Drosophila melanogaster: one gene and its partners. The protein of the gene in region 1 interacts with the protein of each later gene in a biochemical or structural test. Each region holds a gene or a part of one and is shown on either strand. Other genes may lie near its edges.

Region 1 (3,753 bases):
GAAATAAAGACTCGCCCTCGCCTTGTGGAGAGTTTTTAATTAAAAGCAAATTTCATCTCAAATAATGCCGCTAAGCCAGCAACAACAATTAAGCAATTAATTTATTTCAGCTGTGTGGCACTTTGAATAGCGGGAAAAAATCCAAGCCGAGTAGTAAATGGCCCGGCAGGCGGCCAGATCGGATCAAACCTGTTGAATCGCGGTCCCAGAACAGAACAGTTCTGGGCAGTTCCCCTTCGAGAGAGAGTGCTTAGCCAAGCGGGTATACCAGATACTCGTCCCGTCCACTGACCGTATTTCACGAGGCAATGCAAATTGTCTGGCTACAGAGCGGGGTTAAAAGGGGTGGGCCCTAGGCAACCGAGGGATGCATTTGGATCGCCCTGCTGAATCACTTCAGCGGTGATTCATGCCGAGAATAAACGTAATTGTCTGTGGGCTCCATCGAAATTAGTTTCCAAGCTAATGTAAGCTTGCGAAACAATAAAATGGTGTGCAAGGAAAGATCAATGGAGGGTATGGCGGGTTATGCAAGCCAATTTTTCACCAGTCGTATAACTTGCTCAAAGCTATCCCCATACTACACGCTTTCATAACAGAGGGTCCACATATGTAGATATGTTTAAAACCAAACCTAACTAACCGATTGTACTTAAAGAAAGCGATTAAGGCTTCCATTATCAGCGTATAAAGAGAGAGATAACGGCCTTCCTAGACATGTCTTATCTGTCGCCCAAGTCTGGTCCCTCAATCCTTTTCCACTATCAGCGGTGCCAAAGTCAAAGAACTCCCATATCTATGCCAGATATATAATCTTAGATGCGGGGAACTGTTGCCGTTTCCCAAGAACACGCATTGATTGACGGTCTTTCCCATGCATGCCTAATGATCCTTCAAATGGGCCCTAATAACGACCAGCCCCCCTTGGGATCGGATCAGGTAACGCCCCGTCCCGGGGGTTACCCAAAAAGCGACACGCTCCCAAGACCCATCAGGCAGTTGACCAGTGGGTTACGTGTGCCATCGTGCACAGCAAAACTAGTGTATAAAGTTTATATTATCTAAGGTAGCGATATTTTCTAAAACGTAAAGAAACAATTACGTTGCAAACAATTCTCTCAGTGCAGGGCAACCCCAGCAACAATTATTCAACTTAAAGTCGGTGCAGCGGGGAAAACATGGAATCATTTCGGTTTCAGTTAGAAGTGTGCGCGAGCGTTCTCGAAAGGGGCGCTGGGGGGCGGGGCAGTCGGTGGGAGGTTGAGCGAATAAGAGAGTCGAGCATACGAGGCACGCTTTTCCGATCAAACCAGTTTGTCGTAATAGCTGGCATTTGGAATTAGTTACTGCCGATATATTGCTGCACTTGGAATGCGCCCAGATAGAAATTCCCGCACCACGCCCCTCGGCGACGATCCTCCCCTTTGAATAGAGAGTTGACTATTTTTAGCGGGCACCAGAACTTCATTAAAATACAATCAATTTGCAAGTGCAGCGCGGAGAAAATAACAAACAAGCACCAGCCACCCACTCTCTCTTTCTCCTCTCTCTCCCCCCCCCCCTCTCTCACACTCTTCCATACTCCGGTGTTCCCAAAGAGAGCGGAGAGATGGCATTTATGCTGAGCAGGCACAAGCAGAGAGGTGAAGATGGGACTGAAGAAGAAGCAGCCGCTGTGTCGGCAGAATGAAAACGAGGACGACCAAACTGCATTGTTGTCATATTTCGTAATACGCTGATGCAGCAGAGAAGCGAAGGGGTGGTGGGCGCAGAGGTGGAGCAGCAGGTCACGGCGGTGAGAGAGAGCGAGAGCGCAGGAGACTTGTTTTCAACACCAGCTTATCAGCGGGAGAGCGCGAGAAGAAAGAGCATAAGGGCAGAGCGCCAACGCAGCGGCGAAATGGAAATGTCAAGTTGGGACTGCGCTCTCCCTCGCTCTCGCTGCCAGCAGCGGCTGCGCTGTTCTCTTAACCATTTGGAGCCCCATTCAAATGTTCGATTCTTGCCATTCCATTTCGTCCGCTCATCCGTCCACATCCACTTGCGTTTTTGGTGCCCTGCGAGCGGGAGAGCAATGTGAAACGGGAGCACTACAAATACCGCCCACTACCACTACCAATTCCCATACTCCCATATTCCATGCTATTCCCAGCTCAGTTCGTGCCGTGTGATCAAAGCTTTCGGTAAGGCTTCGGCTCGGCTTTGTGTATCCACCTTAGCGGCTCTCTGTGGTGCTCGTTCTGCCTCTCTCTCTCTCTCGGTTTTGGGGCTCAGCTCAGGGACAACAAATGCGGTAAAATGGCTTCTGCGTCGACGTCGACATCCCTGCCGTTTCAGTTCTGATTGGAGGTTCGTGCGCGGCGTTTCCTCAGCTGATTTCTTTGCCTTTTGCCTTTTCGCAACCCGCTTTCGGCTCCGTGTTCGCCTCGGTTGCCAATTACGTGTAACCAACAACAAGAGAAGAAACAGAAACAACAACAAGTACTTTCGAGTGTTGCAAGCCTTCTTCCGCCGAAGAAACCGCAAAACGGATTACCAAGAATATTTGTAAAATTGGTAAGTGGTGAGATTATCCACGAAATAGTCTTCGAAAAAGGTCAAATCATCAAGTGTTCAAATTTAAACGACAAGTTTAAGTATTCTTATTACCTTCTTAAGACTTATCTTGAATCTCAGATGAGGATTTTATTGATTAAGATTCAAAAGTTCTTTAACTGGCTTTTGTTTCTGGAGTCCGTAGTGATTTTTTTAAAGATTTGAATGTTCACTGAATTATATTTTTGGATTAGAATCTAATCACTTTAAACAGGACATCGCAGGAGTCGAAAACAATTGATGACAAAATCAGCAGTTAATAGCTTTTGGATTACAGAATTATAGCAATAAAAGCCTGACAAATTGGCCAAGGGTCGTTTTGGAAATCTAGCAGTCTTAAAAGCCTAGCAGATACATTTTCTTCTAACAATTTCCCGCTCACACGCTCAGTACATGCACCAACACACGCCTATTGGAAAGACGCTTTTGTATCCAACTTATACAGATAGTGGTACAGCCACAGATACAAATGCACACATGCCGTATACGGCACATGGGGAGTAATGCCGCCACACTAGATACCAGATACTAGATACATAGATTCGTCCGCCGCTTATTTGTCGGTCGTGCTTCAGTGATCTCTGTCATTTGCAGTTGCCCATTTCCTTTTTTATCCCCCACTTCCACATCCAGTCGTCATTCGCCCGGCGCACCCCTTTTGATCACTCTTCCAGTTCCAGTGCCTTCTGGTGGCTTCCAGTGGCTGCAACACTTGCGGTGTTTTTCTGAATGAACCAATGGAGTGAATGTGTGAATGAGTAATCCATGTACGCAACATGTTTGCACTGCACAAATTATTTGGACTCAATGTATTGATTGTGTAACTCGGCTTTACGTTTATTTAATCGCAATAACTAAAGTGAGCTACAACTCTATACGTTGGTTACTATTCTTGGGAGGAAGGAAACCTGACAACCCTGGCCAAGGGGCAACTCTACACTTGCACCTGTGCTCCACGCTAAGCCACAAATTCAATTATGCAAATCAAGATCACAGCCCAAAAAACACAATCTTCGTCTCCGATCTGCATTTGTCTTTGTATGTTATGTTTATTTGTTACTTCTGTCGTTGTTTTTAATTCGCTAACCCACTTCACACAGTGGCAGCAACAACAAAAATCGTGAATTATACTTTGTATTGGGGCGAAAAGGAAACGAA
Region 2 (3,753 bases), on another chromosome or scaffold:
TTTGAACCGAATCGCCGAGTTGCACTTCGGCAGAGGCGGAGGACTCCGTGCCGGATGCAGACTGTGATAACATTTTCCTGAGGCTCTGCGTTCTCAAGAGTGCTCGATATTAGTTGGCCGGCATGTGACTTGAAGCCTATGGATTCTGAATGGGACGGTCGGATGGATGACTCTATATCCAGCATATAGCATCGTATCCGTATCAAGGCCGAAACACTTGTGTTGCACCGGCATTTTCAATGTATTTTCAATGCGGACGCAAAGCGAGCAAAACAAAACACAACAAGCATACGCCACGTTGCACTTGCACAGCATCAAATGCCCTGCCATCCTCATTTTTAATGCATGAGGGGGTGCTCCCTCCACCCGGCCACACTCCATTTGTTTTTCCAACCATCGCTGTGGATTGCGTAGCGATTGGGGGCTGCAGCTCCGAAACTGTTCGCTTAAGCGGTCGGTGATAAGACGCGAAATCAAATTTAAAAGCTATCAATTTGATATTAGTTCGGGGACCGACGAAAATCCTTCGGGGGAAAAGCTGCTGCCGCGTGCCAGAATGCAGAAATCGGAGTTTTTCATGGGGAATTCGTTCACGGAAAAACAAAAGGAATATATTTGAAATATAAATTTATGTTTTATTGTCATATTTTTCACTGGATATGACACTAATTTAATTCTTCTCTATCTGTCAGTCTACAGATATTTGTTTGGGTTTATGCAAAAAAAAAACCAAAAAAAAAAAACTTTTGTTTAGCTCCTCTCACGTATTTTATTTATAACTAAACTAAATATATGAAACGCTGTTTTCTCAGTGCATCCTATTTGTGTTTTTGCCAACATATGCTGCAGCTCATAAAATTTCTCCGCTTTGCTGCAGTTTTCATTTGCCTTTTTTTTTCGGCAGCTCTTTTTTGGTTAGCTGTCGAAGTTTTGAAATCAATTTGCAGATGATTTATTATGTTCCCAGGAACGAATAGGGGGCTTCAATCGAGGAGGAGTCTGTGCATACGACATTGCAAATGGAAGCCACTGACGTTGATGAATGCCGCTGTGTATTGTTTTGCTGTCAGAAGCGATCAAATTTCTGTTTTGGAGCACGGAATTCCAGGTGAAGCGGAAAATTTGCAAGTTATGCGACAGTTTTATGCGCCCATTTTTTGATTGGCAGCGAGGATTCGCAAATTGATGGCACGTCTCGGGGCAATCGGTTTTCTCAGCGGAAATGCCAGTTGGAAATGGGAACTTAAGATACTTAAAGAAATGCATCAAAAATAATAGGATAAATATTATATATTTATAGAAATTTTTAAGAAATATTAACTCTTTATCAACAGTAAGCATTTTCAAAAAGTAACCGCTTTTGCCTAACAGTGCTGCCCATCTACAATTGGTTTTCAGGCAGCACTATGCACACGGCAGTACAGCTGTTACTTATCGGTGCTATCGATAAATATCAAGGACTCAAAAATTGGGACTAATAATATTAAAAGAGCAAGCTTAAACTTTAACATTATAACTATTAAAACTGGATTTACAATTGTCTTACGTTACTTTAAAGTATAGCAGTTGAAATCGATTTAGTATTGTCAACGCGCGCTTTCCCACACTGCTCGATAAGCATATGTTTTTCTTATCGACATTTGTGGTAAATAAAAAGTGCAAAAACCGCTGCTAAATCGGTCAAGAAGTGCAATGATATAGCCGCCATATCTGATATGTCCAAGCGCAACATAACGTACGTAAAGCCGCAAGAACCTAGTTTTCTGGCCAAGTTGAAGGCTGAAATTGGCTACAAGGAGGGACCCACCGTAGAGACCAAGGTGAGTTCTACGGGGAAGGCCTCTGCAGCATTCTAATGCGGATATATAACCATTGGTTAGCGTCAGCGATTGGATCCGCAGGACCAGGAGGACTACGATTCTGAGGAAGATTCACGGGAGGACGAACAGCCGCAGGTGGTCGTCCTTAGGCCGGGAGATCTATCCGCCGAAGAGGCCAAAACGGAGAAACTGTTGGCCTCCAAAGGTCGGTACATATGTACAAGCATACATACATACATATCGCTGTAGTACATACATACTTACACGCTCGCACACGCACACACACATGCATATAGCCCACGGTGGCGGCGGCGGCAGTTGCACGTGTGTGCGTAGGTAGGATGTTGTAGTTTGTCTTTCAGTTTAACTTTTCAGTCAGAATCGAGCGGTTGTCTTCTTCTGCCCGGCGTTACATATATCTAAATCATATATGTATATATACATAACTGCGTATATACCGTTGCTTATGTATGAGTGCGCGCGTGTGCTTGTGCATTTTTGCCAAATGAAAATCTAACGGTAGTGCGAAAACAGCAGTTTGTTGCAAGAAGTATGTGTTTTTTTTTTCGAAAAGCACCTTCGGTTTTTCAATCTTTTTAAAGCCCTATGTTGCCATGGCAATCTTGGTCATTTCCGTCCTAAAGATTCCCTTTTTTGCCCAGCGGAGCACCCCTCACACAGACACACACACCCGCAGCAGCTAGCCGACGAGGCATACACACTGACATTTTCATTGGGGGCTCCGCCAAAGCAGAGCATGTGATGAAAATCGTTGGCAAAGCGGGCGCGGCGATAAAGCAGCCGGCAAAGAAGTTAACAACAGCAGCTGCCGCCGCTCGCTTTGTCCGCCTCTTCCGCTCGCCCCCCTGCCCCTTTCAGCCCCACTTGGAAGAGCGCAGAAAATCGGGTGAAAACAACGTGTGCAAGAACGAACGGATGAAGGAGGCGGGCAAAGCGGAGAGACAATGATGAACGAAGCAGGCGAGCAAAGAGGAAAAGAGCGGGCCAAAGTGGCTTGACGACGTGGTGGCGGTGGCAAAGGCGCTGCGGGGAGGGGGTAGGCGTTGAAGAAGGGGCTGGCGGAACAGCGGGGGCGGGTTGCGAATCAGTGGGTGGAGCGGGAGGGGGAGTGAAGCGGGAGCGTCGGGCGAGAAGGGGCTTCCCAGGGCCGAGAAAAACATCTTGTGGGTGCTGCTTGGAAAAGGGGGGGGTCGGTGGGTGGCTTGTTCTGATTTACACCTCCCTCCTCCCCATTTGTCATGCTGCAGTTTTTAAAACCCAGATACATTTTCCAATCCAATAATGAATTGCTGGCATATTAGTCACCTTCCTGGCAATTTTATAAGCAGATCAATTTTCAAAAACTTTCTTGTATTCCTTTTAGTTAATGCAATTTTTAAATTTATTTTATTTATATCAGCTTTGATATATGTATTGGCATTTTTCTCCCTAAATTTGTGCATACTACTTTCCCCAAAATATTTTTCATTCTAAGATAGTTTATATAACTTAAATACTCCATTTAACTTGTAAATAGGTGTTTACTTACACGCTTTACTACGATCATAATAAGTACAGATGATTGCTGACCCATAACTAACTCCCATTTTCAATCTTCCAGAATTAGCCGAAAAGCGAGCGGATCTGACGCAGCCAATAGTCTTCAAACACTGTGTCAAGCAGCCCAACATCGAGAAAAAAGAGTCCCAATCTGAAACCAACAAGAAGTCCGAAAAATCCAGCACATCCAAGAGCAAGAAGTCCAAGGCCGCCAGTAGTAAGCTGTCCTTCAACGAGGACGAGGAGGACGAGACTGCCGAGGATTGAAGATCACACCTTAGTTATCTGGCTATAAGTTGAACCAACCAAGTTAACCTGCAGCGAATGATTAAGGTGAGAAATTCAGGTCAAAAACAGCAAATGATTGTTAACT
Region 3 (3,753 bases), on another chromosome or scaffold:
CGGATACATTATTCGTTCGCCACGCAACTCCCTCGCCTGATTCCATTCATGTATTCATTCATCAGAGGCCTCGATTGCGCTTGGAACCTCCGTGCCCCATACTTACTCCTTACTCCCTACTGCCTACTCCTTACTCCCTGCTCCTTACTCCATTGTTTACTATCGTCGAAGATGCGTAGTAAAAGTAGCGGCGAGCAGCGCCAGTTAACCCAGTGTCTGCGATCTGAGAAGATCGTCGCAAATCGGAGGAGCGGACGAAGAAGGTTCGGACGAAAGAAAAAAGGAGAAGAAACATCTGTCGCCACGAAGAAATCCGGTTGCAAGCTGCAACACCACCGGCTCAAAATGAGCAACAACACAGAGAACATATGATTGAACTGCCCGAATGCCGCATAAAAATGGGTAAAAAACGAAAAATCGAAACGCACCTTTTGTGTTTTTGTTTTTTTTTTTTTTGTTTTTGGAGCAGCTGCCGTTGCTGTCGGTGCTTCGTCGCCGTTGCGGAGGATCGACGGGTTTGGGGGGAGCACCAGACTCTGCACTCGGCAGCCTGTTGATGAGCCCACAATGCGCACATGCTGCAAGCTATTCGTGCCGCGGATGATATGGGCTCTGTGTTGAGCCGGCGGGTCCTCCATAATGATAAGTGCCCGTCGAGGAGGCCGTCCACATTAAATTCGGCGTTTGTCGCTCAATGGCAGCTGCCACCGATTCCTTCGGCGGCTTAAGCAAATCCAAAGGACTGGACGCGAGGGACGAGCTTGAGTGTCGAAAGTTCAGATAGGTCAAGTTGTCAAAATATTCGGAGACAGTTGTCGGTGCTTTTCGATTCATTCATAAAATTTGCGAGGCTCTGATCGCTGAATGAATTTGGCAATTCGCCTTGCAAGGCAATAAAATTATAAAATAAGGTTTATCAGCAGGTTAAGAATCATTAACATTGTTATTCCTTATTTTTTATAAATATTTATTTGGCATAAAAGTATATCAGTCATCAGAATTTTATTCGTGGTTAAATTGTCAAACTTCTGCTGCATATTTCCACTGGCACTGCCTTTTGTTATCCGTTTCCTGTTTCAGAATTCGCACTAGTCATCCTAGCAGTCAACATCCCTTTTGGCGCCCTTAAATGTGAACATATGCCGCCTGTTTGTTTTGTTTCGGCTATGTCACCCTTATGGTTGCTTTTTCTCTCACTGCAATATTGGGTTATATGGTACATGTTTTCATTTTTCAAAAACACCAGGCTTAATCTGAGCCCAAAAAATTGCATTTGAGTATAAAAATTATACAAAAATAAATAAATATTTTTAAATTTTGTTTTATATTTGAAAATATATATATGATTTGAAAATATGATATATTTTGCATGACTTTTATTTCATTAGTGTCTAGCTTATCCTTTATCTCTTATTTTTCCCATCGATCCGACAACGCTCGCCACTCTCGCATGTCATTTGCCAGATGTGGCAGCCCGCAGGCACAAATTTTGAAAGTGGTGCCCAGAATGCGATGAGGACAAGCAAGGCTCATTCGAAATTTGTGCGTGCAACGCGAAGGACGTGCCGCTCCGTAGCTCGCTGTCCCGCTCTCGCTCTCCCCGCTCTCTCGCTCTGTCGCACGCGTTCGCCGCTTGGCATTTGTTGTTTGCCACATTTTCGCGGCACCCCAAAAAATCGTGAAAATACAAATACAATACGAGTGCGAAAGTCGAATATCGGCAGAAGTTAGTGCGACCTTTGGTGACGTCAGAGGCTGGGAAAAATCGCCAGGATGTCTACCAATCAGCAGCAGCAGGCGAATCCTTCGGCGGCCGTTGCCGCACCCGCCGCCTCCTCGGAATACCTGAAACGCACCTGCCTCATCTGCGGCTGCCACACCAACCAGACGATCAATATCTACGAGCCCCGCTCCGGACCCAATATCGTTCAGCTAATCCAGGCGAAATTCAAGTTTCAGGTATGGATTTTTCCCAACTTAGAGCAAAAAAAATAAAAACTCAGTTAGGCGGGGAACGTATAAAAATCGATATTGGGGCAACTCGGCGGATGAGTCATGCAACGAAGGAACGTCCTTCGGACAAAGTTTTCCCTCTGCGCGTGTATCCGTGTGTGTTTTTTTTTTTGGGTTAAAAGGGGATGAACTTCGCTGGGCGGAAAATGGGAAAATGGGTGGCACTTCTATAGGCAGGTACAGGTAACTCCCTCACAGCAGCCCACTGGGAAAAAAAGAGTGGCAAGCTATTTGATGATTGATTTCGAGCGCAGTTTTCTAATATTTTTAAGTGATTATTTGCAAAGAACTAAGGTCTCGGAATTAGTAGTTCTATCACAAACTACTTTCTTAATGAAAATTTCAAAATCCTTTATCCCTATTAGTTTTGTGGTATGCCCACCTTTTCCTGTGCCCTTTAAACTGCATATCCTGTCGCCGAGCAGATGATGCATTTCCCCGACAACCTTTGGTAATTGGACACTTTGCATATGTGCCAGTGCCACAGAGCCGCCACTTAGTTCGATTCCTTTCCCATAATTTTTAACAGCTTGTTCTAATATGCGAGCAGTGCGGTGTGTGTGTGTGTGGGAAATGCGACAGCGGAAGATGGCCAGGGAAATCGATCCTGGCTGAAGATCCTGGGCTTGTTTTTCTGTGGAAGTGAGTTTCGGGTCTCGGATTACAGGCACTCCTCCTCACTCAAATGACTACCCATGACTACCTGTACCGGCGGCGCACACATAAACCTGCTCGAAAGGGCAGATGTGCTGTGGATTTGCCGAGATTGCTCCAATTTCTGCGGGCAGTGAACGAACCCGGTGTGTTCGTTCTCTTCGTTTCCATATCCCAAAACGACAGCTGTATTTGCCGGTCGGCACTCAAAATCCAACCCATCGGGGTTTCTGGATCCTCTGCTGCTGCTGCTGCTGCTTCTTTATCAGCTCTTCATGGTCTCGAGTGAGTTTTTTCGCATATCAACTATTGAACTCGGATACCTGGATGCGAGTTCACAGTTTATTGTTTGTGAGACGAAGGGATTTTCCCCAGCAGCATTGGTGGTTGAACCCTTGGAGAATGCCAAATATCTTTGGATAGAAATTCCGGTTTCTTAAGCTGCGCAAATCCAAACAAAGGATCTACCCTTGGAATAGCGTTTACAAAGGTGATTTCAAATGCCCGAATTTTCAGCCGAAGTCCCAGAAGTGCCAAGCTAGACAAGATTTCCATTTAGAGGTCTTCGTTTAGTTTGGTATTTTTGGGAAATAGTTTTTACTAAGGTTTCCGTTCAATTGGATTACAAAGTCAGAATGAGAGTTCTTAAAACGAAGTCCTATAAAAACATAAACAATATTAAGTGGTTGCTAACATAGGTTGTTAAAATATTGGGTAGATATTGGTAGATTGTATTTCCACATATTTTCGGAATATATGTTTCGGTCTTAGATTAATTGAAGCATTGTGCTTAACTAGTATTGTGTGTATAGCAATCAATTTAATTACGAAATGCTCGAGACGCACGCAATGCGATTTCATAATAACAAAAACCCTCAGCTAACCCCGCAATATCAGACACTAGAAGCTCACCCTCTATGCACATAGAATATATATATATTCACCCCCTCCGGACGTCGTTAGAATTTCGTTTGAACCGTTTTTGCGAAACCCTATACGGTGGGCATACACCACCTGCCGTGATCGTAGCCTGGCAACCGATCTCCCCCACAGGAACAACACCCTCGCCGGGTTCTCTATAAGCTC

The links.
Region 2: the proteins of ttk (region 1) and MEP-1 form a complex in vitro, tested with the Drosophila melanogaster proteins (one study listed by BioGRID).
Region 3: the proteins of ttk (region 1) and phyl form a complex in vitro, tested with the Drosophila melanogaster proteins (one study listed by BioGRID).

The regions. Positions count from the first base shown.
Region 1 is NT_033777.3:31,711,714-31,715,466, forward strand, and holds the start of ttk (tramtrack), read left to right. Parts: upstream 1-2,153; 5' UTR 2,154-2,556; intron 2,557-3,753. UniProt on the Drosophila melanogaster protein: Binds to a number of sites in the transcriptional regulatory region of ftz. Isoform beta is required to repress inappropriate segmentation gene transcription and repress genes incompatible with development of photoreceptor cell fates.
Region 2 is NT_037436.4:2,630,097-2,633,849, forward strand, and holds the start of MEP-1 (MEP-1), read left to right. Parts: upstream 1-1,618; 5' UTR 1,619-1,715; coding exon of another isoform or gene 1,716-1,820; exon of another isoform or gene 1,821-1,880; coding exon of another isoform or gene 1,881-2,025; intron 2,026-2,178; exon of another isoform or gene 2,179-2,370; intron 2,371-3,441; coding exon of another isoform or gene 3,442-3,647; 5' UTR 3,648-3,713; intron 3,714-3,753. Other genes in the region: CG42245 (uncharacterized protein), read left to right, coding at 1,716-1,820, 1,881-2,025, 3,442-3,647.
Region 3 is NT_033778.4:14,430,114-14,433,866, reverse strand, and holds the start of phyl (phyllopod), read left to right. Parts: upstream 1-1,529; 5' UTR 1,530-1,773; coding exon 1,774-1,959; intron 1,960-3,753. UniProt on the Drosophila melanogaster protein: Essential adapter component of E3 ubiquitin ligase complexes; involved in R7 photoreceptor cell differentiation, embryonic nervous system, external sensory organ development and specification of particular muscles.